Linked DNA regions of Diceros bicornis minor. The protein of the gene in region 4 purifies or fractionates together with the protein of the main gene of each other region. This does not show direct contact. Links are inferred from orthologs where the notes say so. Each region holds a gene or a part of one and is shown on either strand. Other genes may lie near its edges.

Region 1 (7,413 bases), on a different chromosome or scaffold from region 4:
TTCAAATGTCATCCATCTTGAGCCCTTCTCTGACTACCCTATCCCCCCTTACCACCCACCCAATCCCTCCTTCTCTACTTTTTAAAAGACCATAGCACCACCTAAAATAGTATGTATTTATTTGCTTGTGCTTATTATTTTGCCTCCTCTCACCACTAGAAGGTAAGCTCTGTGAGGGGAGATACTTTGTCTTTTTATTGTTCATTGTTATATATCCAGCATCTAGAAGAGTGCCTGGAACATAGCACCTGCTCAGTAACTGTTGTTGAACACATGAATGTATGTCTAACATTCCTCCCTACATGTATACTGCCTCTCCTGTTAGACTGCTCTTCTTCTTCCATTCTACATCTACATTAATGCATCATCATTCACTCAAATGTCAAAAGGTTATTCTCAACCCATCCCTCTCTTGAAATCACCCAACATCAGATTGATAATTTTTTTGTGTGTGAGAGGAAGATTATCCTTGAGCTAACATCTGTTGCCAATCCTCCTCTATTTGCTGAGGAAGACTGGCCCTGGGCTAACATCCCTGTCCATCTTCCTCTACTTTATATGTGGGACACCTGCCACAGCATGGCTTGAGAAGTGGTACGTAGGTCTGTGCCTGGGATCTGAACCTGTGAGCCCTGGACCACCGAAGCGGAGTGTGCAAACTTAACCACTATGCCACTGGGCCAGCCCAGACTGATAATTTTTTTAAAAAATCACACTGGTGGCAGAGGATCAATTAAGAACAATGCCTGAAGATCTGGGAGGCTACAGTGATAATTCATATGAAGGAAAAGGCCTAAACAAGGGTGGCAACGATGGAACTATGAAGGGGGAAATGGGAGATATTTAAAGGTTCCAATTGACTGGCTCCAGGACAGGAAGCTAGCTGGAGTAGCTGACATTAATCAGAATGGGAAATACAAGGGAAGAACATGTTTGGAGGCTGTGAGAAAAGCAGCCTGGGGAACACTAACATGATATATTCTCCCACCCCAGAGCTTTTCTTTCCTATCAGCTTAGTCTTGTGCTGCATGACATTAATGTTCTTGCCAGTAATCTCACTTCTTTTTCCTTATCTTCCTGTTGTAACTATGTTGATAATCCCCACACTTTACATCTGCCTTCTATGTATGCTGCTGGAGAATGTCTCACATTTATGGGAAATGGTATTAACATAAACGTACAGTCTCCAACCTTAATTAAGCCCTCAGAAGTGAAGAACACTTCTCAGGAAACATTAGCTCCTTCTAATTTCCACAGTAGCTATTTTGGACACTCACCATTTGCTTCAAGCCCCTAAAGCAGCCCTCCTAGAACCTTTCTCTTCATTTCTCAAAGGCTATTAGGCACCACTGCCTCAACTTCTTGCCTTCTCACCCACTTACTTATCATCTTTGTACTTGTACTTACCTCCTTCCTCTGCTTCAGAGAAAGAGGTGGCCCCCCCTCATCATGCTCTAGTTTCTTCGATCTCTTAGGGACTTTGACTATTCTCTTCTATCTTCAATCTCCAGTGCTCCATTAGTTTTTCTTCTCAGCACTTAGATGTACTCATCTCTCCTAGCTCGTAAAAAGTTTGTTTGGTTCTTCTTTACAAACTCCTGTGAAACAAGTTCTCAGCAGTGACTCCATTTTGTACTCTGGACTCCATCTTCTTAAAAATATGAAACTGTGCTGACCTTGCTGACTTGCCAAAAGGAGATATTTGCTGAGAAAGGACTTTCTGAAGGACTGTGCAAAAATATACTTTTTCTGGTAACAACAAGATGTCCTTGAGTAAGCCAATGCTAATTCACTCTCCATTCATAAATCTTAACAAACAACTGAGGTAATTGTTCTGGGCTCTCCATTTTGCTAATAAAAACATCTGACTTTTACTCCTCAGGGGGACACTTTTCTGGCTGCTGCGGGTACCTGTGTTCCCCGAATTGCAATTCTGAGACTCCAAATAAGTGATCTCCTTTGCTTTGCAGTTGCCTCTTTTTTCTAAGGTGACAGTCCATTCTTCCTGTACCCCATCTTTCCCTCCACAACCAAGAATCTTAAGTCTATGCTTGGTTCCTTTACTTTACCTTTCATTCACTTTGCAACTCACTAGAAATTGGATTTCAACTCCATAACTTCATTTGAAATTGCTCTATGACCTACTAATTGCTAAATTAAATTGTGCCTATCTTGTCTTTTCTCACATGATCTCTTTCTGGCATTTTATACTTTTTGTATAAAATGTACTTTTTGCCAATTTTCACCTTTTCTCCAAGTTTTACTCACTTACTGACTATGAAAACACTCAAATCTCTCTCTCCATTCATTTTTTTTTTTTTTTGGTGAGGAAGATTGGCCCTGGGCTAACATCCATGCCCAACTTCCTCTACTTTATATGTGGGACACCTGCCACAGCATGGCTTGATAAGTGGTGCGTAGGTCTGCAACTGGGATCTGAACCTGCGAACCCCAGGCTGCAAAAGTGGAGTGCTCAAACCTAACCACTAAGCCACTGTGCCAGCCCCTGTCCATTCATTCTTAACATCACGTACCGGTTTTTCTTTTTCTAGTGAAAGAACTATTACCTTCCTGGAAAAATTAATGTTTAATTAGTTCAGTTCAAATAACTGAAAAGTAAATTCTAGCTTCTCTTACTTGTGCAGGAGAAATCACAGGCTTCACAGCAATAATATATCTCAAAGTAAGAATCAATATAATTGAGGCAGCAAATAATTAAGAAGGAGTTTGGAGTTATTGAGTTTGGAGATGAAAAGTGACAAGATGAATTCTGGATTTTAGACAAGCAATCTGACAACTGAGTGGAGAGGGATTTGACAGGGGGCAAGAACTGTGCTGTTATCATAGCTCAGGTGAGAGAGAAATTAGGCTAGTCATAATGAGGATGGAGAGACATGGGTGGATTGAAGATGTTTAGGTGATAGAATTTCCAGACTTGACACACGATTGTGCATGGGCAGTAAGGGAGCAGGAGTCAAGGATTATTTCTAGATTTCTGGCTCTGGCAACTGAGTAGATGGATGAAGTCATTCATGGAAACTGGAAACACTGAAAAAACAGTGAGGAACTAGTGGAAGAACTATTATCTTCCTGGAAAAATTAACTTTAAATTAATTAATCAAGGTACTTTGAGTTTACCAAGTGGAGTTGTCCAGTAGGTAGCTTGATGTACTACAGCTGTAACTTAGGAGAGAAATCTAGGCTGAAAATAGATTTGGGGGGCATCAGCCATACCTGGCAATTTAGGTCCTGGGGGTAGCTGAGATTGCACAGGGAGTATGAGAACAAGCCCTGGGAAGAAAGTCTTCCTTCCAATAAATATATATATTTTTTTTGTGAGGAAGATCAGTCCTGAGCTAACATCCATGCCAATCCTCCTCTTGTTGCTGAGGAAGACTGGCCCCGGGCTAACATCTGTGCCCATCTTCCTCCACTTCATATGGGACGCCACAGCAGCATGGCCTGACAAGCGGTGCATCGGTGTACGCCCAGGATCCAAACCCAGTCCCCCAGCAGCGGAGACTGCGCACTTAGCTGCTAGGCCACAGGGCCGGCCCCCCAATAAATATTTAAACTAAGAACTATCCTTTCGTGGTTTCTTCTTTAGTCCTTTCTACCTTATTCTCCCTGATTTGGAGGAAGTGGAGCTGGACACCGGCATAGAGCGTTTTGATGAGCAGGGTCAGAACAGCTGTCATAGATTTTACAGCAAATTGAGAAAGGCTTACGGAGCATGTGGTGCCAGAGGGAAGGCGCTCCTGTTGAGAGACTTGGGTGTTGTCAATAGTTGGAAAAGCAAGGTCAAGAGCCGTTGCTTCTATGTGGAGGAAAACCAATTTCTGGACAGTGGCTAAGGTCTCCGGCAGGATTTGAGGGATGGGTTCGGACCAGAACTTGTTGTCATGGAGATGGGACGGCTACAAAGTGACGAGTGAGATTATTCAAAAGAGATACTAACAGTCAAAGTACTGAAAAAAGAGAGAGATGCTGAAAACCTTAGTTACTTGAAAAAACACAGATAGGTAGGTTAAAACAAACCATACACCCAACAGCGAAATGGGACGGCTGAGGTTAGGGCCGCGTTGCTTTCGTGTCCCTTTATACACAAAAGGGAACTGGACCCTCCTCGCCGGAAGCAGAACCTCTGCCCTCTGGTGTATTACACATTCCTCCGCGCCGGAAGAGTGCGTCTTGCCTCATAGCCGCCCGCTTCCCCCACCCCTACCTCTTCTATAGGAGAGATCGTGGGACCTCTAGGGTGTGCCGCTTGAAGTCGTCCGACCGTTCGGAACTTTCGCGGACAAGGAGACCAGGAACGACACTGGGTTGCCAGGAAAGGCACGAAGAAGAAAGGTCGTACAACAAGGCGTCGCGTTGCTGCGGAGGGATTCTGTTTTTTGGGGTGCGGAGGGATTTGACAGTACGTTAACTTCCGGAAAAGTCCTGGCCCTGAGAGGAAAAGCCCCGAAGGAAACAATAACAAACGAGAGGAGGAAGCGATTCTGGGCTTACCGTGTTGAGCAGGTCTTGTTCGAGAAGATGAGCTTCGGCCCCTGTCAGGGGACGTGAAAGGGGTCGGTGGGCTTCAGCCAGCCTTTCTCCATCTGTCCCCGCACGGGGTCCCTTGGGTGTTGCCATGGCGGGCGTGGGGCCAGGGGGCTACGCGGCGGAGTTCGTGCCCCCTCCGGAGTGCCCAGTCTTTGAGCCCAGCTGGGAGGAGTTCACAGACCCACTCAGCTTCATCGGCCGCATCCGGCCTCTGGCGGAGAAGACCGGCATCTGCAAAATCCGACCGCCCAAGGTACCGTACGAGTCTGAGGAGAGAGGGGGAGAAGAGAGCGTGGGGAAGTCGATATGCTAGGTTTAGCTTTATTTTTCCGGTCCTCCTGTCCTTTCATCTTTACTCTCCCTCATTTCTAACAAGTAGAAGCTAAGTTTCTGGATATTTTTGCTTTGGTTTCTCTTGCAGTCTTAGGTAGGCACGTCTGAGCGCGAGAGAGCGGAGTCCCCGGGGCCTTTCCGCCTAGAACTTGGGAACAGATACTTCGGGTTGTGGGCAAGGGTAACAGAAGGCTTTAGGCCGATAAGGTGTTTGAAGTATTGTGCCATGACGTACAGTCAGATACAGTCCCCATTAAGGTGCGATAGGAAAAACTGCCCTTCCGTCGGCTATTTTTTTATCGAAGTCTTATCGATGCTTAATTTAGTAAATATTTGCAGGCCTCATCTTGGGGCTAAGGTTTCTTAAACGGTAATCTGAGCCCCAGTTGTCCCCTAGGATATATCACCAAACAAGAACCCCACACTGGTTACTGCTGCAGTGGAAAGATCTTCCCGGGGGAAGAGAAGGAGCAGCATTTATTTTTAAAATTTAGAGGTTTAGGACAAAATTGTCACAAAAGTGGAAGAAAACTTTGGCATCTTTTGATGTAAGGAACCATGGATCAAAGATTTACGAATCGCAGTGATTGCAAATAACTGGGTTTGCCTATAGGTTAGTTATAGTTCTCAATCGTTAGGATACCCCTTGTTTGCGGAAATTAGTGTCCCAAGAGGTTGGGTGATTTGCTCAAGGTCAGAAGATTTTTTTCTTGACCCATTAGACCATTGCTTTCCAGATGATGTTCCTGGTCCACCTGCACCAGAGTTAGCCCTATGCTTGCTAAAATGCAGATTCCTAGGCCTCATTGCGAGACTAGAATCAGTTTCTGGATGTGGAAGTTCTAGAATCTACTTTTCTAGCAAGTACTCTTAGATGGCTCCTAACGCACATTAAAGTTTGTGAACCATTGCCCTAGGGCTTCGTAAAGGGACCTCTTGCTTTATGTTTTGTCTTCCGTTAACAAAAATAAAACATTAAGTGCTGTTTTACCCATGTCGCATTTTAAAAAACGTCTGCTCTTACCACAGTGAATAAAAAGAGCTTAGATGGGAGGGAGGAGGAGGAGCTAGTTTAGCACCTACAGATTATTTCGTTTAATATTCTTTTAAGCCCTAGTAGGTAAATAAGGTCTCATTTTACAGATAAGGCAAGTTGGAATAAGTTAAATAACTTATCAAATGTGTGATCTTGGGCGAGTGGCAAAGTAGATTTTGAACCTAGATCAATCTGCTTGATTCTAAAATCTAGACATGCTGCTCCCATTATGCTTAATGAATTTAAGATTATAGACTATCAATTGCAAGCAAAGGATTAACAGATAATTGCTATGATGAATGATGATACATGGGTTGCCATCCTCCAGAAGCTTTACTTAACTCTTTTTTAATCAAAATTATCTAATATTGACAAAACCTTAAGCACTGAAGTTTTTCCTAAACCATATTTTCATCTACTCTATTGTGTTTAGGAATTAGAAATTCTAGCAAAGGTTCCTTTTGGTAAAAAATTATAACTTTTTTATTACTTAACAAAAGGTTGAAATAATGTACCTTCTCTTTGTATGTCATATTATTTTTGAAAATAAATCTTGTTTACAAGCAGAATTTAATTTCAATATTGGTGGATTTCTTTAGTTTCCAAGGTAAGATAAGTTTTTTTTTTTCCCTACTTCTCATGTTTTTAAATAGATTTACTATTATTTAGGCCAAATCAAGCTATGTTCTCTGAACCCTACTTGAAATGTGCTGTCTCGTTTAAGTTATACCACATCTCCAATCTGGAAATTGTCCTTGTTCTGTGGGTTTGCTTACTTTTTTTAATATTTGGGTACCCAGAAGCTAGGCTTTGAATATAACATTTATATAACATAGACTGTAAAGTGCTGTGTCACATTACACACAAATGGAAAACATATTATTCCATTATATAAGTACTTTTTAAAAATTATTTTAATTTTACCATTTTTTGTTTCTGTCAAATTCTGTTTTTTTAATTTGGTAAACTTGGATGTTTGTTAGACACTGTATTGAGATACATGAGCTCATTACATTCCACTTGAATAATTGGGGAAAGCATAATTGTGGGATGTAAGTAAAGGGACTGGTGAGAGTTGAGGATTACAGATAAGGTAATTTTAGTATTACTTAGAATATTAGAGATAAGTAATTAGAGATAAATAATATTAAAATTATTCACCTAAAAAATACTAGTCTTTCTGTCTCTACAACAAAGAAGACTTATGAACTGATCTGTTGTCATCATGATTTGTGGCAACTGACATTTTACATTAAAGGAATGAAGAATGCATCCCTTGCTTATACCAATATGTTTTTTAAAAAAATTCTTTCTGTTTAGGATTGGCAACCTCCATTTGCATGTGAAGTAAAAAGCTTTCGTTTCACTCCCAGAGTCCAGCGCCTGAATGAGCTTGAGGTGAGTGTTCACCATTTCTGCTTCCTGATTCATTACGTCAGGGATCCAGATAGAGAACTTTGAGAAGCTTATGTACCAGGACTCAGAGTTAATGTTAA
Region 2 (6,889 bases), on a different chromosome or scaffold from region 4:
GAAGTAGACGAAAGTGCCTCCACTATGGGTTGACTTAGAGTGAGGGGAGAGGAAGGGAGACTTAAGGGTGGGACAGGTTGCAGTTTATGGATTTGGGTGTCAGAGAAGGTTATAACTTGAACATGTTGGTCTGTGATGCCTCTGGAGCATTCCAAGCAAAGAGCTGAATGATGCTATCTGGAGCTCAGAGGAGAGGTCTCAGCCAGAACTATAAAGCTGGGGGGTTATCGACCTATAATTTTAAATATCTGGGGATAGGTTTGGGTATGGAAAAGAATGTTATAGTTACTGATTCAAGCTGCCCATTTTAAAACCTAGCTTTTCTTAAAGGCTTTAAGTTCAACTTACAAATCTTATTCCATTATAAATCTAGTAATTTTTCATATAAAGATAGGGACCATCACTTTCACTTGTTCTTTGATTACTGTTGAATTAATTCTTAAGTTCAATAGATTCAATCCTCCTTAAAGATTTAACAGACTTACAGCCTTAATTAATCAAATTTCCTTAGACAGTTCAGACTACAGTTACAAATTTAATATGCCTTATTTTTTTTCAAACACTTTAAATGCCCAACAAGGCAGACTTATAAATCTAAAACGCAAGATCTTTCTAAGCACTTAAGCAATTGTTGTAAATTAATTATCTAAACTTATAAATGTAGCAAATCAGATTCTCTTGGCCATTTCAAGAATCTTAAATCCTACACAGAGCAGAACAAGGATCACAGAAGCTTCTCTCCTGTATTCATTTATTTCTTCATTATCTGAATATTTATTTATATTTCCTCTCTGGAGTTACAGATTTACTCCCCCAGCAAAGGGATCAGAATTTTTTCCAGATATTGCTATTTAGAGCCAATCTACATAATAACATGGGGAAAGCTTATGATAAAGCATTCCTTGAAAAAAGACTATAAAATTGTGCATAAAAGATAGTTAAAGGCATGACCCCCAACCAAAAAAAATTACATAGAGGTTGGGGGTATCAATCTGGGTCCAATTAGGAAAGAGAAACCACACACTAATTTGAATAGGGAAAGATTTATTAATTATAATAGGGTACTGTAGTAACGAGGTATTGCCTAGTAAGAAGCAGAGAACTCCGAAGAATACAGGCATAGCAGATATAAGGAGCAGCCAGTCCCCCTAGGGCTGAGATAGAGCACCCAAGGAAAAGGCCCTCACCACCTCCCCTACCAGAAGAGTGGTGCCTGGGGAAGCTGGTGCTAAAGAAGCTGTGTGTACTGTAGTAGCCTGGTGCTGGATGCAAACACTGTTTTGAAAAAGTATCTAAGTGCAAAATATATGTGGGAAATACAGAAGTCTTATCCATACCAATCAGCTTTGGAACCAACATTATACACTGCCTTGTACAGATACCCAGCTGTTTTCTTTGTATATGTCTGAGCTCTCCTGTTAGAAGATATTCTCTCTCTCTTTTTTTTTTTTTTTGTGAGGAAGATCAGCCCTGAGCTAACATCCATGCTAATCCTCCTCTTTTTGCTGAGGAAGACCAGCTCTGAGCTAACATCTATTGCCAATCCTGCTCCTTCCCCCCCTCCCAAAGCCCCAGTAGATAGTTGTATGTCATAGTTGCACATCCTTCTAGCTGCTGTATGTGGGACACGGCCTCAGCATGGCTGGAGAAGCAGTGCATCTGTGCGCGCCCGGGGTTCCAAACCCCAGCCGCCAGTAGTGGAGTGTGAGCACTTAACCGCTAAGCCACCGGGCCGGCCCTGAAGAAGATATTCTCTTTTAGGGCTGAGTTCTGTTTCATCCTCCTCTTGTAGCCAACCCTGAAATGAGTGTATGCAATATGCTCAATAATTTACTTTGAATATATGAACTCTGAAGGAGGAATCCTATTAAACTGTGCCTTTTTTCCATTAATTTTTTACTCTATTTTTTCCTACTGTAAAAGCAATAAATGTTTATTGGGGGGAAATGCAAAGATAGAACAAAAGGAGAAAAATATCAACAATATTTCCACCACCCAGAAATAATTGCTATTAACACTTTCGTGTATTTCTTATGCACGAAGTTTTTTTTTTTAACATAGATGTACACACATTATATCCCACATGCAACTTTATAGCCTGCATTTTTAACATAAATAAAGCATTTCTCTAGCTCATCATCAACTCCTTGTTGAAGAGTCAATGCTGAATTATTGTATACAGAAATTTATAGAAAATTGATGTTGAAACTACCTTAAATGTTGAAAACATCATAAGTGACTACAAAATATCTCATTCTGAAGATGTCAAGTAGTTTACTTAACCACTTCCCTTGTAAAAATTTTAGGTTCTTTTTTTATTTTTCCCATTATAAATAATCCCATAATGAACATTGTTGTGTTTAAATTGACTCTGCCAGGTCAATATCCTAAAATGGCTGTCCCACCTGTGAAATTACTAGGCTAGAGGGTACAAATACATTTAAGGCCACTGAGGAAAATTTAAGATCACAGGGCATCTGCTTGTAAACATAGAAACTGGTGGCTTTCCCTTTTTCCACAGGACACAAACCAGAAGCCTCTTCAATGCCACCTAGTACTACCAAGATAGGTACACGTGCTCACCTAACACTCCCCATCCCCTCCACGCCGTTCTCCCCTAGAAAAATGCTACCCAGCCCTAAATGATTACATCACGTCATGACACTAGGCTAGTCCCTTCGGATCTTTAGCCCTCATTTGTCCCCAAGCTGCCCAGGGGAGAGGTGGCCTGACTAGGGGTGCTACACTAGAGTATTTCCCTATGGTCTTTCTGGATATGTGTCACGCCCTGGACGCCGAACCCCGAGCTATGGGGCTTGGCAGGGCGCGGTCACCTAGCGAGTAGTACCGGAGGCTTAAAGCAATGGAAGCTACAGTTTACAGATCTCCAGGGAGGGCCCAAGACTCAGCAAGCCCTTCCTCATGCCAAGATTGACCCTGGGTCCTCCACCCCCAGCCTTTTCTCCATTTCCTCCGCAGCCTCCCTCTTCCCCGCGGTTCCCCTAGTCCACCCTCCAAACCTTATCGTGACTTCCGATTCCTCCCGGCGGAGGGGTCACCCAAGCCCCTGGAGAGTCTCCTTCCCCTCCCCTTCTTCTTCCGCGCGGACCAAACCATCCCCAGTCCCCACAGTCTGGGGTCTCCGCCACCCTCAAGCATCCTACTACCTTGCAAGACCGGCCATGAGACCCCCATCATCTCCCCTGCACGTCTTTCCTCGTATCAGTACGGGATTGTCCCTCTGTCTTTCCCACCATGACTGGCTTTCTGTCCTGTATCACCCACCCTACCTCCCCCACCAGTCTGCGGGTCCTCTGGCCCTGGCCCTCCCGTTTTACCCAGTCTGTCCCTCTCATGACAGTACCTCTATTCCCTTTAGGTTCCCCCTCATATGCTCCTCCCCACGTCTGTTCCTCTACGCCCCCGCCCACGTCTGTACTTCTGTCCGCCCCTGAATGTGGTCCTCTGTTCCCGGAGTCTGCCCCTCTGTCCACTCAGGCCCCTGCTCACCGCCCCTCCTTGGGCCGGGAGAGTCTGCGGCCCGCTCCCCTCCCTCACCCACGGAACTCTTCCCTGTTCCACTTTCTCTACTTTGAACCCATCCCAGCAGAGTCCAGGAAGTAGCCAGGCGCCGGGGACTGGCGGCTGTCGCGCCCAATGGGGCGCGCCAGCGGCGGCGGCGGCCCCGCCCAGAGAGCAAACGCTACCAATGGGCGCGCGGAGGCGGGACTTCCGCTGTCCCGCGGAGGGCGGGGGGAGCGAACTGTTGTGGTGCGGAGCGTTGGGCGGGCGGCGGCCGGGCGGCCCAGGGGCTGCCGCGGGACTCGGGGCGCAGCCGAGCGGCTGCAGGGGTGGGACGGGCCGGACGCGCCGCGGGGCCCGGGGGCCGCGGGTTCGAGGCCGGGTCCCGCGCGGGGAGGCCGTGCCACCCCGGGGGATCTGCCCGGCGGCGAGTTTGCCCAGCAGCCGAAAGAAGGCGGGAGCCGGCGGGGGCCCTCGAAACCTCCTGGCAACCCGGGCGCGGAGTCCCCGGGGAGCGGCTGCTTCCTGGGACGCCCTCCCTGACGCCCCCGCCGAAGGGTAGCGGTTCTGGGCCCCCGGCCGAAGGCGCCTCCGGGTGACCCCCGGCGGGGCCCTGCGAGCCGCAAGAGCCGACCCCGGGGCCTCGAGCGGGGAGGCAGGGGCTTTCCGGAGACGCGGGGCCCGGGGCCGAAGGAGCCGGAGCGCGGCGGAGCGGAGCCGGGCCTCCCGGGCGCGGGGCAGGGCAGCGCTTCGGCTGGAGACGGACTCGGGGACCCTCAGGTGCGGGGGCCTCAGCGACCTGCCCCCGGGGGCGCGCGGCCGCGGAGTGGCCTACAGGGGACCCTCCCCCAGAGGGGCCGGCCCGGGGCGGGGAGATGAACGGCTTTAGCACGGAGGAGGACAGCCGCGAAGGGCCCCCCGCCGCCCCCGCCGCCGCCCCGGGCTACGGCCAGAGCTGCTGCCTCATCGAGGACGGCGAGCGTTGCGTCCGGCCCGCGGGCAACGCCTCCTTCAGCAAGCGAGTCCAGAAGAGCATCTCGCAGAAGAAACTCAAGCTGGACATCGACAAGAGCGTGAGTCCGCCCCCGCGCCCCGCAGCTCTCGGGCCGCCGCCTCCGGCTGCCGGCCGGACTCCGGGGCCCTCCCCGCCCTGGGCCTCGCCGCCCTTTATCTGCAAACTGGGGAGTGGGACTCGGGATTGCAAAGGCCGCTTCAGCGCTGACAGGCGCTGGCTGGGATTCTGCCCAAATCCGGGAGGCTGGGGGCGGGGGCCTCCGCGGACCCTGCCTGCCTGGGAAGACTTGACAAGTTTTTAGCTTGTCTCATTGGTTTAGATACTGGAGCAGGGAGAGGTGGGTTAATTTTGTTGACCCACGAAGCAGCAAGTACTGGGGAGGGGGTGATGAAGGGACCCGGCTCTTCTCCAACTTCTCCCTCCTTCTCGGAGCTCTGTTATTCCTTCAGAAAAGGAAAGGTGGCAGTTACTTCCTTGTCTGCCGCGGCCTCAGCTTCTGCAGAGGGTCACCGAGCTCGCTGCTTCGCATGCGGCTGTGAGGAAATGGGATTTTCAAGGATGTGGCAGAAATAAGGCCAAGACCTGGTCTTGGGAGGTGGCTCTTACAAGTCGAAACGACTAGAAGGAAGAAAATCAATTTTCTTAGGGGTAACTTCTTTAGAAATGCGGAGGGGGGGAGGGGGGATTTCAATTTGAATAGAATTGCCCCGTGTTTTGTGCCTAATTATAGGAAAACTTTTCCTGTGTGATTTCACCTCTTCTAATTAACAATTCTAAATATGTGCCTATTGTCACCCAATTAAGAACTTTGTGGTTTGACATATGTTGCTGCAAGCCTTAAGTGGCTGCCTCCTGATTAGGAACTGGAAATGAGTTAAGGGGGTATTTAATATTCAGGTAGACCAGCTGGGAGCTTAGGCGGTTAACATCTATTCTCTTTTAGGACCAAAATGTCTCCACTGTTGGGAGAAATCAGAGATTGCTTGTTAAACCGAAAGGACGCCCACTTTTCCACTTCTGATTTTACAGTTGAAACTGAGGCCCAGAGATAGGAAGTGACGTGCCAAAATCACACAGCACTTAAGAGGCTGGTTAATTTCTTAAACGCATTGTCTGATTTAGTTCCAAACCCCATGAATAAGCCTTGATTAAGTCTTTCCTAAGTGAAAAATCTTCCCTGCCCTTTCTTCCAGGCTCTTTCCTCCCACCCCCAATTGTTTTTAAAGTTAACAATTATAATACATTTGCAACTCTTGAATGGAAAGATGCTATTTTAAGATGGTTGGGGGTGAATTAGTGGCTTTCTTACCACAAATCTCTATCAATGAATGAATGAATGAAAGGAATTCATCTGAGAGCAAACTGGCTAGATAGACACTAAGGTGGTGCAGATTAGGAAACACGTTGAAGTGAAAGGCTTAATTCTGACAGCAGTGAATTCATCCTCTTGGAAACACTGCCTACCTTCTATGTAGGTTGTTGGGAGCCTTTGCTTGAACAGCTTATAGTAATAATAATTTCCAGTCCTTACAAAAAAGAAGTTTCCAGTTCTTTTAATCCCTCAGATGCAGTCAAATCTGAACAATTGTGCTGCTGCAACTGGGGCTCTATTTACCACTGGAAAACCTGTGCTGAGCCATGTTGATGGTTTCACACACACTGTCTAGAAGAGAGGCAGCCTTAGCCTGGCACTGGAGTTCCCGAAAGGCAGTGCTTCTGAAGGAGCAGGGTTTGAGGTGGACTCGCTCACAGTTTGTTTCAAGGTGGTGTTGTAGAGTCCTTATTTCTGAAATGGATTTGTTTCATTCTCACAGGCTCGGGCAGGAATTCAATTCTAAGTAACTGCTGTGTTACAAGAATTTTTAGCTGTTGCAGAAAGTGGGAAAAAAAACACTAGAGCTACCACCCTCCTCCTCCACCCCCACCACAGCCACTGAGCTCTGAAATTTCTGAAAACCAGTATATACTTGAAAATGGTTAAGGAGAAATAATGACTATCTTGTAAAAGGGTCTAGCAGAGAACCTTTGTAAATAATGGCAGCAAAAGTCCAACTTAGGCAGGTTAACTCATTTCATGTAGACGTTGGCAGTGTTCTATGATTTATTAAGATATAGCATGCTTTCAAACATTTCTCCAATTGACATATTTCTGCTTTTTTCTGGAGAAAAGTGGAAGTTGAGAATAGTATAAGGAAAATGTTGAGGAAGGAAAGGACGTATGCCAGGGTCAGAAGGCCTGGGTGACCTTGGCCAGGTCATGCCCCGACTCTGGGTGGCTTCAGTTTATCCTTCTAGAAAATGAGATTGAGGCCAGTGGGGTCACACTGGTGATTGCTTAGTTCTTTTCCATCT
Region 3 (7,180 bases), on a different chromosome or scaffold from region 4:
GCACATACATACCACTCATCAAGCCACGCTGTGGCGGCACTCCATATACAAAAAATAGAGGAAGATTGGCACAGATGTTAGTTCAGGGACAATCTTCCTCACCAAAAAAAAAAAAAAAAAAAAAGTAAATAAAATCATTTAAAAAAAGTTTTTATGAGACCTAGGCAAAACCATTTTTATGGAGTTTTTTTTGGTTAGGAAGATTACAGACAAGGAAACAGAGTGGCAAGTATGGCAGAATGGTTAAAAGCTTGGACTCTTCAAACTAACTGCTGGGATTTGAAACCCGGCTCTCCTATTTAATAGTTGTGTAACCTTGAGCAAATTACTTAAACTTTGTCTCTGTTTCTTCATTTCTAAAATGGAGATAACGGCAGCATCTAAATATAGAATTGTTACAAGGATTAAATGATTTATAAGTTATCAGTTTATTACTACACCTAAGTTTCTCCAGTTTACACAGCTACCAAGGAGCAGAGCTAGGCCTTGAACCCAGGCAGTCTGAAGTGTACATTTCTACTTTGATAGAAGGCAATAACCTGAAGCATAAGTTTAAAATCTTGGTGCCCAAACAAAAATTTCAGAGTTCTTCCCTTGTTACATAGAAAATTATTTAGATTATTATGCTTATACAGCATTTACCCATAACTTGTCAAATGTAAAGTCAATCCTGATGATATTCTAGTAAGTTTTATCTTCAAAAATTTCTTTTAACATTTGAAACCTTATTTTAAAAGTTTATATTGAAGAGCTTCTCCTGTTTATCTATATTGTATTTAGATAACATCCCAGCAAGGAAGCACCATGAAATAAATGTTTAATTACTTCTATTCCAGTGAGGAAGTCTGAGGGCAGCTTAGCTAAGACTGCTGCTGTACAGCAATATCCCAGAGCCCAGCAGTGTATTTACAGCTTGGAAACTGATGCCAGGAGAAGCAGAACAGTAGGGAAATACTGGAAATCTAGGCAGTTTTGTTGAGTGCCTATCACTTTGCTTAAAGAAAAGTTTCAGTTAACCCATACCCTCATTTACATTAAAGCACAGACCACAATCCAAGGCAGAGTACTTTGGAGGTTAATAATGATTTGACTCTTTCTGTATTAGTTTCCTATTGCTGCTGTGACAAATTACCACAACCTTAGTGGCATAAAACAACACAAATTTGTCATCTTAGGGTTCTGTGTTTAGAAGTGCAAAATCAAAGTGTCTTGCAGGGTTGTATTATTTCTGGAGGCTCTAGTAGAGAATCTGCTTTATTGACTTTTCCAGTTTTTAGAGGCTGCCCTTTCATCTTCAAAGCCTGCAAGAGCCAGTCAAGTCTTTGTCATATTGCATCACTCTGACAGACTCTTCTGTCTTCCTCTTCCATCTTTTCAAAACTCTTGTAATTCCAGTGGGCCTATCAGATAATCCAGGATAATCTCCCTATTTTAAGGTTAGCTGATTAGCAACCTTAATGCCACCTGCATCCTTAATTCCCTCTTGCTATGTAACATAACATATTCACAGGTTCTAGGAATTAGGACATGGACATCTTGGGGGAACCATTAGTCTGTCTTCCAAGCCTTCCTTGGTTCAAATAATTCAGTGTTCACTCATTCAATATGGTCATTTTATTGAGCACTTAATATATTTTAGTTGCTAGTAGGCACTGGGGCATATGCAAAAGAACAGAATACTATCCTATTTGCCTATACTTAGCCGACAATTCATGAATCAGTGGAGTTACTGAATGCTAGTTGAAGGCAGAGACCCTAAGTATGTAACTTTCTTTATATACTGGTGTAGCGGAATTCCATTAGAAGTGTTTTTTCTTTGTAGTGTACACAATTATGTTACTGATGAGAAATTTTACACGAAGGCAATGTGGTATAGTGAAAAAAGTTAGGTTTTTAAGAGACAGGCAAACTAAAGTCTAAAGATAAAATTACTGGACTTCTCTGAGCCTCAGGCTTCTCATCTGTAAAATGTGAATAAGATGATCCATCTCAAAGTGTTGTTTATTATAAGGATTAAAAACAAACACATGTTCTTCTGGCATGGTATTCCACAAATGTTAATTCTCCTTCTCTTCTCATATTTTAAGTATCTAACATTCATTTCAACATTTTCCTAACTTGCTTTGCACTAGACTATAGAAAAAATGTTAGACATAGTCCTTGCTCTCAAATTAAAAACGTGGTTGGTAGAGTAACACACTTGCATACATGACACAATTAAAGATTAATGTAAAACTTCAATGGGCTCCATGAAAGACTTGGCACTTAAGACACAGTTAGGAAAAGCAAATATATAGTGAGGTAATTAAGGCTGAATTCCTCTTTACCTTAAAAAAACAAAGCAAGCAAACAAAGCCTGGTCCATATATTGAAATATGGTACGGGGGAAATTCAGGAGTGTCTACTTGAACTTCAGAGCTTGACTAGACCTTTGAGATTTAATCTAGCACAATGATTTTCAAACTATTCCCTGGATCCCCTGAAATTCACAGATGTGAAGAAAAGGGACACCCAAGTAAATCCCCTCCCTAATTTTTTCTGCTTTACTGGTTAGGTGAAACTAAAAACTAGTAGATTAGATAAACTTCGGGATTATCTGTGGATTTTAATAGTCCATAGTTCTCCTGAATTCCATCATCAAGTAAACGTTCGTGCAGGATTCTGAGAAACAAGTATTAGTAACCACAGAAATCTGATAGGCCTAGTTTTGCTTTGTTTTATTAACGACTTGGTTAGAATAGGACACAAACTACCAATTACACCCACAAACCTTATCAACATCAACAGAACAATAACATAATACTCTGCACTTTCCCTGTGCCTAGGAGCTAATTCTACTTTACATATATTATTTCACACACCAATTCCAAAGGCAGATTTGGAGTTAACTAATTTTTATGTCTAGTTTTTCGTTTCTTCTTGATAAGGAATTAAGAAAAATAACTTTCCGAAGGACACATAAGACACGGGCGATTCAGTCCAAAACTCAACTGGAAATACGTGATTCCTTATCCTCTAACATCAGGCTGCCTAATGAGATTGAAAATGTAGTAGCCATGCAGGAGGAAAAAGTAAAAGTGCACAGAAACACCATCGCGTATAGACAGTTGTGCGAAATGCGAGAAATCTAAGCTGAGCTAAAAAAAGAAAAAAAAAGAAAGCCGACCACGGCGCCGGTTCTTCTTTGGGTCCCAAGTCTGCAACATAGAACCCGGAAAAAAGCCCCCTAGGACGGTCGCCGGTCCTCCTGGCCTCACTCCCTACCTCACGGAGGTGCGGAGTCCCGCTCCTTTCCCTCATGGGTACAACCCCCGCGCCGGTCTATTCCCTCACCGAGAGTCGCGGACCAATTCTCCCGACGCGGCGAACAGCAGATACTATCAAAAGCTGCTCCGTAGTGCTCGTCCCGCAGCAAAGAAGCAAGCTCGGGTCGAACGGCAGGAAGCTACTCAACGCGCAGCCGCCGCGGCCTCCAACCGCCGGCCAGCGGAGGGGGGCTAGGCCGCCCCCGACCCACTCGCCGCGGCCGTGAGGAGGAGGGGGGAGGCGAGCCGCGGCGCCCCGGCCCGGGAGGTGAGTAGCCATGGGTCTCTGTCCGCCACTCAGATAATTCCAGTCTTAGCGGCAAGCTCTGCCTGCTTTTGCCTACCTTTTCCTCCCCCGCTCCTGCAGCCGACAGGAATGGAACAGTCCCGCGGGGGGATTGTGGGAGGCGCACGCGCGAGGGGTGGAGGGTATGTGGGGGGGGCCGGAGGAGGAGGCGGCGGCGGCGGCCGTGGCGGCGGTTGGTGGCCGTGGGGGCGGGGAAGGGGGGGAGGAAAGACGAGGAGGTGGAGGAGGAGGCTTGGGCTCGCGCCGCTGAAGGTACGCGTGAGGGCCCGTGCCAGAGCCGGCTTGACAGGGGCCGAGGGGAAGTGGGGGACCGTGCGAGGAGGCGCCCCTGAGCGAGCGCGTACGGGCTGGCTGGCGCGCAAGGCGGCCGGAGGCGGTGGTTGGTGGGAGCGGCGAGCGACGAGCCCAGATACACTCCGGCGCGTGCGGGCGGGCGTGCGCGTTTCGCCGCCCGAGTCGGGTGAGGGGGGAGGACGGAGGGGAAGAACGCGAGGAGGGAGGAGTGGGAGGTGGGGGGGGGCACGAGGCGCCCTTCGCTCGCTCCCTCCCTCCCGAGGAGCTGCCGCCGCCGCCGCTCTGCCGCCGCCGCTCCCGCCGCCATTTTGGGTTCGCTTTGCGGAGGGGGAGACGATCCCCGTCTGGGTTGCGGGACCCGCCTCCCCTCAGTTTCCCTTGCTTGGCCCCACGCCTTTCCCTTCTCCTCTCTCGCATTTCCGCCAGTCCGCTCACCCGCTGGCCGCCTCCTGACAAGCGGGAGGGATCCACTGTGGACCAAGGGAAGCGGAGGAGCCTAGTGGCGGCCGCCCCCTCTTCCCCACTTCCCTGCACTCTCATCTTTCTCGGCCTCGGCCTCTGACACGGTGAGTAGAACCGCTTGGGGAGGCCTTTGGGCCTAAGTACTCCCTCCGCGACTCAATCCTTGGCTTCTTGGGAGCTACTGTCATCTCCCGGACCTGGACCTCCGGGAGAGCGGTGGTAAGGATGGGGGAGGGGAGAGAAGGGAAGGGGATCCTGAGCTTACCGGGAAGTCCCTCCTGGCGGGGGTGAAGGGGTGTCCCTGACAGGCGGGCTCCTGGCTTGGGGGAGGGGGCAGGAAAGTAAGCGAGTGGAGGCGGAGTCGGCTGTGCCCCTGACAGGTTAGTTTGTGTGTTGTGTAGACACGATTGGAGCATCCCCCGTAGTCCAGTCTGTGGCTGTTTAAGGAATAAGACTGGCAGGAGGGCTGATCTTTCGAGAGTAGTTTACCTGTATGATCAGGTGTGTGTCGTCCCTGACATGCTGAACTGTATGTAGGAAAGACAGAATGATTTCAGTGTTATAAGTTTAATAAATGTTACTGGTTACTTTGTACATGGAAAGACATGTTTTTGGTCTGGAAGACAGATGGTCTGCTGGTGTATGGCGGCTGTGTTTGTGTGTGTATGCAAGGAAGGAAAGTGTTCCGGAAGAGTTTGCTTGTGTTTGTGTAAGTGTAATGGAGTTCCCCTTATAAGTTAGCTTATTTTTGAAATAAAACTTGGGATATTCCCTGCTGGCTGATGTGTGTGTGTATTTTAGGTATTGGGAGCGCCTTGTTACCTGTTGGGAAAGAGAAGTCACAGCAGTATTTTAGACAATATAGCATATATTTGTGGGAGAAACTTAAACTGCTTGTGGTCTTAAGAGTAGTTTGTTCCTCTGAACAGAGTGAATTGTGTAAATGTGAAGGTCTAGAATATCTTTAACAGAATAGTTACTATGAGGGTATAAAGAATGGATGGCCTTTTTGTTGACCTGAGTTTATATTAACGCTTTATAATAGAATAACGCTGTTATATTTTTCAGATTTTAAATCTTTAAATTCTAAATCTCTTTGTGATTCTAAATATCTGTGAAATGGTAGAATAGATGTTTTCTCCCATTTTACACAATACGAAATTGAGGCATAAAGAGATAATTTTTCGAAGGTGGCATGTTAAATTGGTTACAAAGTTGGGACTATAACTCCAGTATTTTGACTACTAGTCCAGCAGTGTATTCACTATACCATGATGCCTCAGGAGGTCTTTGTCAGGCAAATCTGAGTTTATTGGAAAGGTAAGGGCTTATATGACTGGTTGGATTGTATTTGGTAGAGATCAGTTATGTCAGACATGTATGTGGAATGTAGGTTGTCCTTTCCAGGTTGGCCTGTGTGAAATGGTTATCCTTGATTATTTTTTGTTTATGAAGGAAGCAGAGCATTTCTGACACTTGAGTTTGTGTGTTTGAGGAAGGGATGTCTTCTGTAGTTTAACTTGTACTAGAGCAGCTACCTGGGGCCTGACAGCTTAACTTTAAATGTATGGGAAGAAGGATCTTCTTTCATTCGTTCAACAAATATTTGTTGAATAACTACTCGTTATATACTGTTCCTGCCTTGGGGTGAGAGTAATCAAGGTGACCCTGTTGAAACAGCCTGGATGCATATGAGGGGACTTGTCTTGACAGTGGTATATGTATTAAGTCAGGCAAAGCAGACAAGTCAGTGGGAAATTGAAACTAGAAAACCTTCCTAAAAAGTCTTTTCAGTTTGGAGGGAATTTAGATCTTCCAGACATTTTAATGTGGAAGGATACAAGTGTATTTAAGAATCCAACAGGATGGCCAGTTTGTGATAATGTGTGCCTTCTTTTGCATTATCTTTTGGCATTTATGAGTAAACAGTTTTTGGGATCTGGGAATTGTTGATATATGTGTCTGTAGATATTGGAACTTTTTGGCAGAGCTGAAGGAATTCTTCGAAAGACTTAATTTTGTAGTAAGGATCCCCTCTATGAATATGAAGGAAGAATATTTGAACTAAACCAACTTAACTGTGTCTCTCTGGAAAATGGAATGTTTTTGATATGCTAGATTAGTGGTTCTTAAAGTTTTTTGGAGTCACTTGTCCTTCTGAGAATCTGATGAAAGACCCTCACTGTACAAAATGAGCATAAGCACAGTCACACAAATGGTGCATACAATTTCAGGAACTTAAACTGTAATGAAGTAGAACCAATTTATATTCAGGTCTCATTTGAAAGCCTTTTTATATATATATATATGTATATATTTATATATATTTATATATATATATGTATATACTTATATATATTTATATATATATTTATATATATATACTTTGGGAGTGGACATGTTGATATGAGTTTAAGATCCAAGATTCTGTGACAGTGTTTGAGCATGCTGACAGTAAGGAGAATTTTAAGATCCATGTTTTTTATTCTTTTTGTTTTATTCTTTATTCTTTGCAAACTTATTTCTGTAGTGTTAGAACATGCTTCTGAATTAGGTGATAAGAGAATATAGCACAAGTGTTTATAGCTTTATTCTTTCTCATTGTGTTTTTATTCTCAAACTCATCTCTATCCAGTTTTGCATTGGGACTGAGGTGTTTTGAAGCTCATTTCGTGGAATTTATCTTATTTATAACAAACATTATTGAGTTAATTCTATGCAGGGGACACAAATATGAGTAATAAAATAATAGGCTTTTAATCCTATTGAAGCTATGAATTGTATGATGGCAGGGGCTTTCAAAAGGGCAAGG
Region 4 (7,489 bases):
TCATTTACATCAGAAACAAAAAAGATGAAATACCTAGAAATAATCTTCTCGGGTTACACAAAATAATATATGAAAAATGGAAAAGCATACGTTATTCCTGGAGAAAAAGACTCATATAAATATCAAAGCTTTAATTCTCCCTGTTTATAATTAACATGACTGAAAAATACCAATAGCAATTTTTTGTCTGTGGTTTACTTTAAAGTAACAGGAAAGGAGGTGAAAAGCAGCAGAATATACCACCCCAAAATATGCCACTTTGGCACAAAGATTACTTTGAGCTGAAGACAAGTGAGGGAAGCAGATACAAAGAACTATTTGCCTAAAAGTAGGACATAAATTTGTAAAGGTGTTCCCCTTTGCCTCTGTATCAGCAAGGACAGAAATTAATCACCAGAGAAAAGTCTAGATCCTTATGCATCCAGAGTCAGCACCAGAGGAATCTATATAATAAACTTAGTAACAGCCCTTAGATTCCATTAGTTTCCCCACATATTTACCTTCCCACAATTTGCTGCCCTAGAAGTGCAAAGCGCTTTTCCTTTGTCTTGTCACTTCTCTACAAAATCACTGTGTTTGTTAAGATGCTATATAAGCTCAAGTTCTAAGCATCCCTTTGAGTTACTCATCACTGAGTACTCCTATGTGTATGTGTGTTGCCCATGTTAATAAACTTGTTTGTTATTCTCTAGTTAATCTGTCTTTTGTCAGTCTAATTTGTAGGGCCTCAGCCAATGAACCTAAGAAGGGTACAGGAAGTTTTTTTTCTTCCCCTACAGGGGAATATGGTGGTAGAGAGGAAAAAAGATAAGCCATTATTTGGTAATTGATGAAGCTGGGCAATATGCGCACAGAAGTCATCATACTATCTGCCTAGTTTTGTACATATTTGGAACTTTTAAAATAAAAAGTTTGGGGCCGGCTCGGTGGCGCAAGTGGTTAAGTGTGCGCGCTCCACTGCAGCAGCCCAGGGTTCGCCCGTTTGGATCCCGGGCGCGCACCAACGCACCGCTTGGCAAGCCATGCTGTGGCGGCGCCCCATATAAAGTAGAGGAAGGTGGGCATGGATGTCAGCCCATGGCCAGTCTTCCTCAGCAAAAACAGGAGGATTGGCAGATGTTAGCTCAGGACCGATCTTCCTCCCCCCCCCAAAAAATAATAATAATAAAATAAAATAAAAAGTTAAAAAAATACCAGTAGTGATTTTTACGGATCTGAGCAAGCTGATTTTTACCTACATATAGGAAAAAAAAAGCAAAAATGGCAGGAAAGGGGCAAGTACTGAGCAGAAGATTGTCCTACAGGATATTAAAAGATAGAATAAAGCCTCGATAATTAAATCTGTGGCACTGACACATGAAGAGAGAGAGAAGAAAAGAATAGAATAGTAAGTCTAGCTACAGACCTAAATATAGGCAGAGGAATTCTATACATGATAAAGATGTTGCATTTCAATCAAAGGGAAAAGACAGACTGTTGAATAAATGATGTTAGAACATCTGGTAAATCATCTGGAAAATAATTAAATTGGCTACTTAGTTTCTACCTTACCCTAATCCTGATGTACTCAAGATTTAAATGTTAAAAAAACACATAAATACTAGGAGCAAGAATAATCTATAACTACCAGGAAAAATATAGTTCTCACAAATATGAGCAAAAAAAGCCAAACACAAAAGGCATACATACTGTATGACTCCATTAATAAAATGTTCAAAAATAGACAAAGCTAATCTATGATGTTAGAAGTTAGGCTAATGCAGGGCCAGCCTGGTGACATAGTGGTTAAGTTTCACGCACTCCGCTTTGACAGCCTGGGGTTTGCAAATTCGGATCCCGGGTGTGGACCTACACCACTTGCCAAGCCATGCTGTGGCAGCCACCCACAAACAAAATGGAGGAAGACTGCCACAGATGTTAGCTCAGGACCACTCTTCCTCACCAAAAAAAAAAAAGAAGTTAGGCTACTGGGAGAAGTAGGGAGAGTGATGGTGATTGGAAAGGAGCATGAGAGGGGCTTCTGGGATGCTGTAATATTCTGTTTATAGATCTGGTTACTAGTTATACAGGTGTATTCAGTTTGTGAAAATTCACTTAGGATATGTGCACTCTTCTATAAATATATTATACTTCAATAAAACTTTTATTTTCAATGTAGTAAAAGAAAACACAGGAGAATTATTTTACAATCTCAGAGTGGGCAAGGCCTTCTTAAGTGTAACATCCCAGAAGCCATAAAAAGAGTTAATAAATTTCACTACATAAAAATAAATTTCTGTATAGTAAAGAAGACCAACAACCCAACAGAAAATAAAGACCATGAATATACACATGCCAGAAGGGAAAATACAAATAACTCCAAACATACTAAAATATGTTCAACCCCATTTATAATAAGAAAAACGCAATTAGTATGACAAGATACTTAAATTGGAAAAGACCAAAAAGTATAGTAAAACAGCAAATTGGTAAAATTGTGAGGAAAAAGGCAAACTCATACAATGCTAGTTGAGTATAAACTGGAGCAACCTCAATGGAGATTGGCAATAATTGTTGAAGTTAAAAATGCATATACTTGACAAAGCAATGTAACTTCTGGAAATTTATTCTACAGATACACTTGCACTTGTGCAAAACAATGGATGTACAAGTATATTCATTGCTGCATTGTTTCTAAGAGCAAAAGAGTAGAAATATCATAAACGTCCATCAACTGGAAATTGGTTAAACAAATTCAAGTAAATGCTAGAACATCTTTGCATGTACACTTAAGAAAATGGTAAGGATGGTTGATCTAGAGTGGAAAACTAGGTGGCAGGGGACCAGAGTTGAAAGACTGACTTTTCACTGCACACCTGTTGTACTTTTTGAATCTTGAATCATATATACCACCTATTAAAAACAAATTTTAAAAATTGTTTTAAGTGAGAGAAAAATGAGCTAGGGAGATATGCAGGGTCCAGCAAGTACGAGCCTAGTATGCTATGGTAAATAGTTGGACTCCATACAGAGGATAATGGGAGATTAGTGAAATATTTTAAGCGGGGAAATAAGAGTTCGATTTGTGCTCTCCCAACCACAGCCACCTTTAGGGATGACAACTTAACGTTTACATAGAACTTTAGATTCTGCACTATACTTTCATATTTATTATCTCATTTATTCCTCAGCTAAAGGAACTAAGATGCAGAGAGGTTATGCGATTTGCCTGCAGTCACTAAGCTAATAAATGGCAAAACCAGGTTTGGGTTTTTTTACTAACACACGATCCAGTTAAAATGCCATGTTAGAAGTTCCCTACTTGGCTCTCCGAGTCCTCGAACCTAGCCACACTCTTAACTATCCCACTGATGGAGATACATGGGGGCGACAAACCCGCAAACGCTTGAAAATATGATTATCTTCAGAATTAAGACACAAGTAAAACTCTCACAAGATACATGTGATTAAGCACATGTGGAAAAAGTTCAAGAGACTGTAAACGTGGGAGCCAAGGTGTCCCAACTCTTAGACCAGGTGGCTTTTTCCTTCAGCATCCCCCAAATAAGCACAAGAAACTACAATACAGGGCGAAATGGGACCATGCCTGAAGCACCTTCTGGGGCAAAGTAGAAGGCGAGGCCGGAAGCCCCGGGCAAGGAGAGGGGATGAGAGAAGTCAGCCACCTACTCACACTCGTACTTCCGATTGACTGGAGGATACTTAGCCTTGATCGCCTTCTGCTCCTCAGTCAAGTTGTAATCTCTAATATCTTCCCCTTCCTGCGCCATGATTGCAGCATTAGACACTCTCCTTCCGCCCTTCATCAGCCGGACTTCGGCCCTGACATACAACTTCCGCTCTAGACTCCGCCCCTAGGCACAGACCCTTAAAGAACCAGGACTCCGTTCTCGGGGACGTACTTTTATACCCTAAGACTTCTGTCTGAGGCTCCGCCGCCTGGAGCACATGCTTAAAAGGCCAAGGCCCCATTTTCTGCGCTGGCTTCATCCATAGTTTTTTCCTAAGGACTAAGGCAATAAATTGGAGGAGTCAGGAGTAGGGGACACTTGAATTAGACACCCCTAGGTTTGAGTGATAGAGGCCTTTTCTCGCCGCCTCACCCCGAGTTCATAACTAGACCTGAAAGCACCCTAGACTTCTTATTTGAGTACTTTGAAAGGGTCCTCAGCTTAACAGCCTTTAAGAAAATGGCTGCCCCCAAGGGAGTGCGGACTAAAACTCTCACGTGACCCCAGGCAGGCGCACTCCCACCAGCCCCGCGCGCGCGCGCGCGCGCGCGATCGAAAGAAGTCGGCTCCGGGCCGTGTGGGGGCAGGGGCGGAGCGCGCGCCTTGGCCCCCTCGAAAAGCGACTCCGCGCGTCTGGATAGGCTGCGAACACGGCTTCCCCGCCCACCTCGCCGTTCGGCGCGCTCCGATTGGTCAGTGTTGGCGCGAAGGTGCGCGAGTCGGCCCTCACGCAGGGGCAGCAGGAAACAATAGAGGCCGCGCGCGCAGAGCGAGCGCCCGCTGCCTCCCCGCCCCTCCGGCAACGCTCGACCCCGGGATCCCCGGCTCGCCTGTCCGCCATGGCCGACAAGGAAGGTGAGGGTGCCGGGGCCGCCCCAGGAGGGCAGGGGATGCCGGGCTTGCGCCGCGGCCTCGACACGGCCTAACAGCGAGGGCAGGCCCGACTCTGCCGAGTGCCGTCCCCACCATCGAAGGCGTGAGGAGGAATCGCCCCGCGGGGCGGGCTAACGGCGCGCCAGCTCCTCGGGAGCGGAGGCCCGTCGCAGCGGCGTGAAGCTGGCGGTGGGGGCCGCGGCGGCGGTTTGCTCCCTCCCCGCGCTCTGTGTCGGTCTGCCCGCTTCTCCAGGTGCTGCCGGCCGCGCTCCCTCCCCCGGGGGCCGGCGCTCGGGCCTCCTCACTGGGGCCGCAGATTGGCGCGTAGGGAGCGGTCTCCCGAGGCCCGGCGCCGTCGCCCGAGCGGCTAACGGAGCGTACGGCCGGGAGGACCCGAGCGCGGTTCCGGGCCCGCGAAGGTGTGGAGGCGTGTTGGTGCCTCCGCCTCGGGGGGATTTAGACACATCCCCCCATTTCAGAATCGGGACTCGGGCCGGTAGCTTTGGAAGTGTTAACTGAGTTTCCATTTGTGTTCGCTAACTTGATTTGTTTTTAACTTTTTAGCAGCCTTTGATGACGCAGTAGAAGAACGTGTGATCAACGAAGAGTACAAAATATGGAAAAAGAACACCCCTTTTCTTTACGATTTGGTGATGACCCACGCTCTGGAGTGGCCCAGCCTGACTGCACAGTGGCTTCCAGATGTAACCAGGTAATAGGAATGCCTTGAACGTTATTTTGTTGCGTCCTCAGTGTAGATTTCTCACGTTGATATACCCTGTTTTCTTCTCGCCAGTCGCCGGTAGAAGGCACGTGATCAAAACCTATTGGTGGCATCTTTTCTAGGCAAAATGTAAAGTTATTTTGTAACTTACCTGATAAGGGGAAAACGTGTCGATGTTTTCTGTTTCTGGTACTGAGTTGAGTAGCCATATTATAGCTAGTTGACCGGGTAATTAAAACATGTCAACTTTCATGAAGTATTGTGATGAATCCAGTTTTTTCAGCAAAACACTTGACTCTCTCATTGGTACTAGCTGGTTAATACAAAGATGAGTATAGACATGGTCCTGCCTTCAAGGAGCACACGTCTAGTTGGAAAGGCAGATATAAACTAATAATTACAGTTATATGTGCTAAGAGCAGTTTTAGAGAGATGCTTAGAACTAACACCTGAAGGAGGGGTGGTTTATGTGTATGGGAGTTTACATGATAAGAAGTTATAATCACTTGTATTTCTTACACATGGGTAGCTTACTTCTAATAGAAGATGTAAAATATTATTTAATTTAGTTTGCGTTTGTTCGGGGTCCACTAGGTGTCACATATCAGGGGGTATAAATTTAAGTAAGACGCCTGCCCTTGCCTTGACTGTGTGTGTATAAAATGTAACAGTAATTATCATGAGTGGCACAGATAAAATGATCAGAGAGAAGAAAAATTACCTCAACTTGGGGTATCGGGAAGGGCTTCCAGGAGGAAGTAACAATGCAAAGATGAAGGTGAATTTAGATAATATAAAGTTTTAGCAAAGCCAGTGTGCCTGTTGGAATGATGAATTTTCTAGTGTGAAACTGCTTCACTCTTCAGAATAACATTTAGAAATTAGATTGTGTGCTAAATAACTAAATTCACTCAAAACTCAGGTCTTCAGATGTCAAGATATTTGCAAAACATGGTTATTAGGCTATTCTTCAGCTCAACAAATAATAGAAATTTGATATAAATTTTATTGGTTAACTGAAGAATGAGGCAGTTACCTTCACAGTGACATTAAAGAAAATGGGGAAATCTATTCTAAGGGTGTTAAACAGAACTGTAATAAATACCTAGACACTTAGGGTTGGAAGCTTCTTTATCATGACCAGCGGTTCCCATATTCAACTGATCATCAGAATTACTTGAGTTTGGGGTAAGTGGAGTCATTTCTGTCAGTTCAGTGATAGTTCAAATGATTTAGGAACCTGTGGCAGAGTACTTGATGAGAAGTAGTTGAATGGTGATTCCAGATTTACTGTGATCATGTAATAAATTATGTATATTGGACCAGTGGATCCCAAATATTGGCCACCCCATACCTACTAAATCTGGAACCCGTGTTCTTAAAAAGCTTCCCATATAATGTAGTGATTAACTAGGTTTGGAAAGCAGTGAATTAGACTCAATTCCCCAAGGCTGGGATCTGCACTATCGTGTTAGTAGCTTTCTACTTTAGCTGATCTAGGTAAATAAACCTTTCTGCAATGTGTGACATTAGTCCAAATACCTTGCTTTTTTCCTTCCTTTTTTTGGTATTTCTACTCACCTAACAATGTTAATTTTTTTAAGATGAGACTTACTTATAAGCAAGTATCCCTAATGCCAGGTGTTTAGTTTTTTGTGTGTTTATGTGTATTTTCATATCTTTTGTAAAAACAAAACACAATTTTACTTCTATAATTCTCTTTTTCCCTACCTCACTTCCTTTGGTTCTTTGTTTAACCTGAGCGTAAGCATTTCTAATTTTCTGTTGACAGCCCACTTTTCTTTCCTCTACTTTTTCTATGTAGGATATATATGGCTGTTACCTCTCTGCAAAGGAATTCCTATTAGTATCTCTAGACCCAACTTCTGGGCTCTTCCTGAATTTTCAGGTGCCTACTGGTGTCTTTGCAGTATCTTATTGGCTTCCCCAACACATGTTCTAAACTGCATGTGTTCTTTCAGTGGAGGTCCCACCCCAACTTTCTCCCTGTCATAGTTGACTTTGGTTTGACGTTTCCTAGGTTTTTCCCTTTCTCCACTTGACAGTCCATTTATAAGCCCTGATGAATTCTACTTGTGTAGCATCACAATCAGATAGAGAGATTGTAAAACAGATTGTTGAGTTCCTCAAGTGCCCAACT

The links.
Region 1: the proteins of RBBP4 (region 4) and KDM5A purify together in Homo sapiens (co-immunoprecipitation; 3 studies listed by BioGRID and IntAct, with this or other methods). This does not show direct contact. The link is inferred for Diceros bicornis minor from reciprocal best matches to the Homo sapiens genes RBBP4 and KDM5A.
Region 2: the proteins of RBBP4 (region 4) and SAP30L purify together in Homo sapiens (affinity purification with mass spectrometry; 3 studies listed by BioGRID and IntAct, with this or other methods). This does not show direct contact. The link is inferred for Diceros bicornis minor from reciprocal best matches to the Homo sapiens genes RBBP4 and SAP30L.
Region 3: the proteins of RBBP4 (region 4) and ASH1L purify together in Homo sapiens (affinity purification with mass spectrometry; 3 studies listed by BioGRID and IntAct, with this or other methods). This does not show direct contact. The link is inferred for Diceros bicornis minor from reciprocal best matches to the Homo sapiens genes RBBP4 and ASH1L.

The regions. Positions count from the first base shown.
Region 1 is NC_080756.1:59,031,371-59,038,783, reverse strand, and holds the start of KDM5A (lysine-specific demethylase 5A), read left to right. Parts: upstream 1-4,391; 5' UTR 4,392-4,636; coding exon 4,637-4,801; intron 4,802-7,237; coding exon 7,238-7,315; intron 7,316-7,413. UniProt on the Homo sapiens protein: Histone demethylase that specifically demethylates 'Lys-4' of histone H3, thereby playing a central role in histone code. Does not demethylate histone H3 'Lys-9', H3 'Lys-27', H3 'Lys-36', H3 'Lys-79' or H4 'Lys-20'.
Region 2 is NC_080740.1:70,927,865-70,934,753, forward strand, and holds the start of SAP30L (histone deacetylase complex subunit SAP30L), read left to right. Parts: upstream 1-3,883; 5' UTR 3,884-4,397; coding exon 4,398-4,595; intron 4,596-6,889.
Region 3 is NC_080743.1:59,406,824-59,414,003, reverse strand, and holds the start of ASH1L (histone-lysine N-methyltransferase ASH1L), read left to right. Parts: upstream 1-4,179; 5' UTR 4,180-4,341; coding exon of another isoform or gene 4,342-4,446; 5' UTR 4,447-4,472; intron 4,473-7,180. Other genes in the region: DAP3 (small ribosomal subunit protein mS29), read right to left, coding at 3,334-3,585. UniProt on the Homo sapiens protein: Histone methyltransferase specifically trimethylating 'Lys-36' of histone H3 forming H3K36me3. Also monomethylates 'Lys-9' of histone H3 (H3K9me1) in vitro. The physiological significance of the H3K9me1 activity is unclear.
Region 4 is NC_080752.1:47,309,686-47,317,174, forward strand, and holds the start of RBBP4 (histone-binding protein RBBP4), read left to right. Parts: upstream 1-4,479; 5' UTR 4,480-4,570; coding exon 4,571-4,586; intron 4,587-5,168; coding exon 5,169-5,316; intron 5,317-7,489. Other genes in the region: ZBTB8OS (protein archease), read right to left, coding at 3,674-3,806. UniProt on the Homo sapiens protein: Core histone-binding subunit that may target chromatin assembly factors, chromatin remodeling factors and histone deacetylases to their histone substrates in a manner that is regulated by nucleosomal DNA.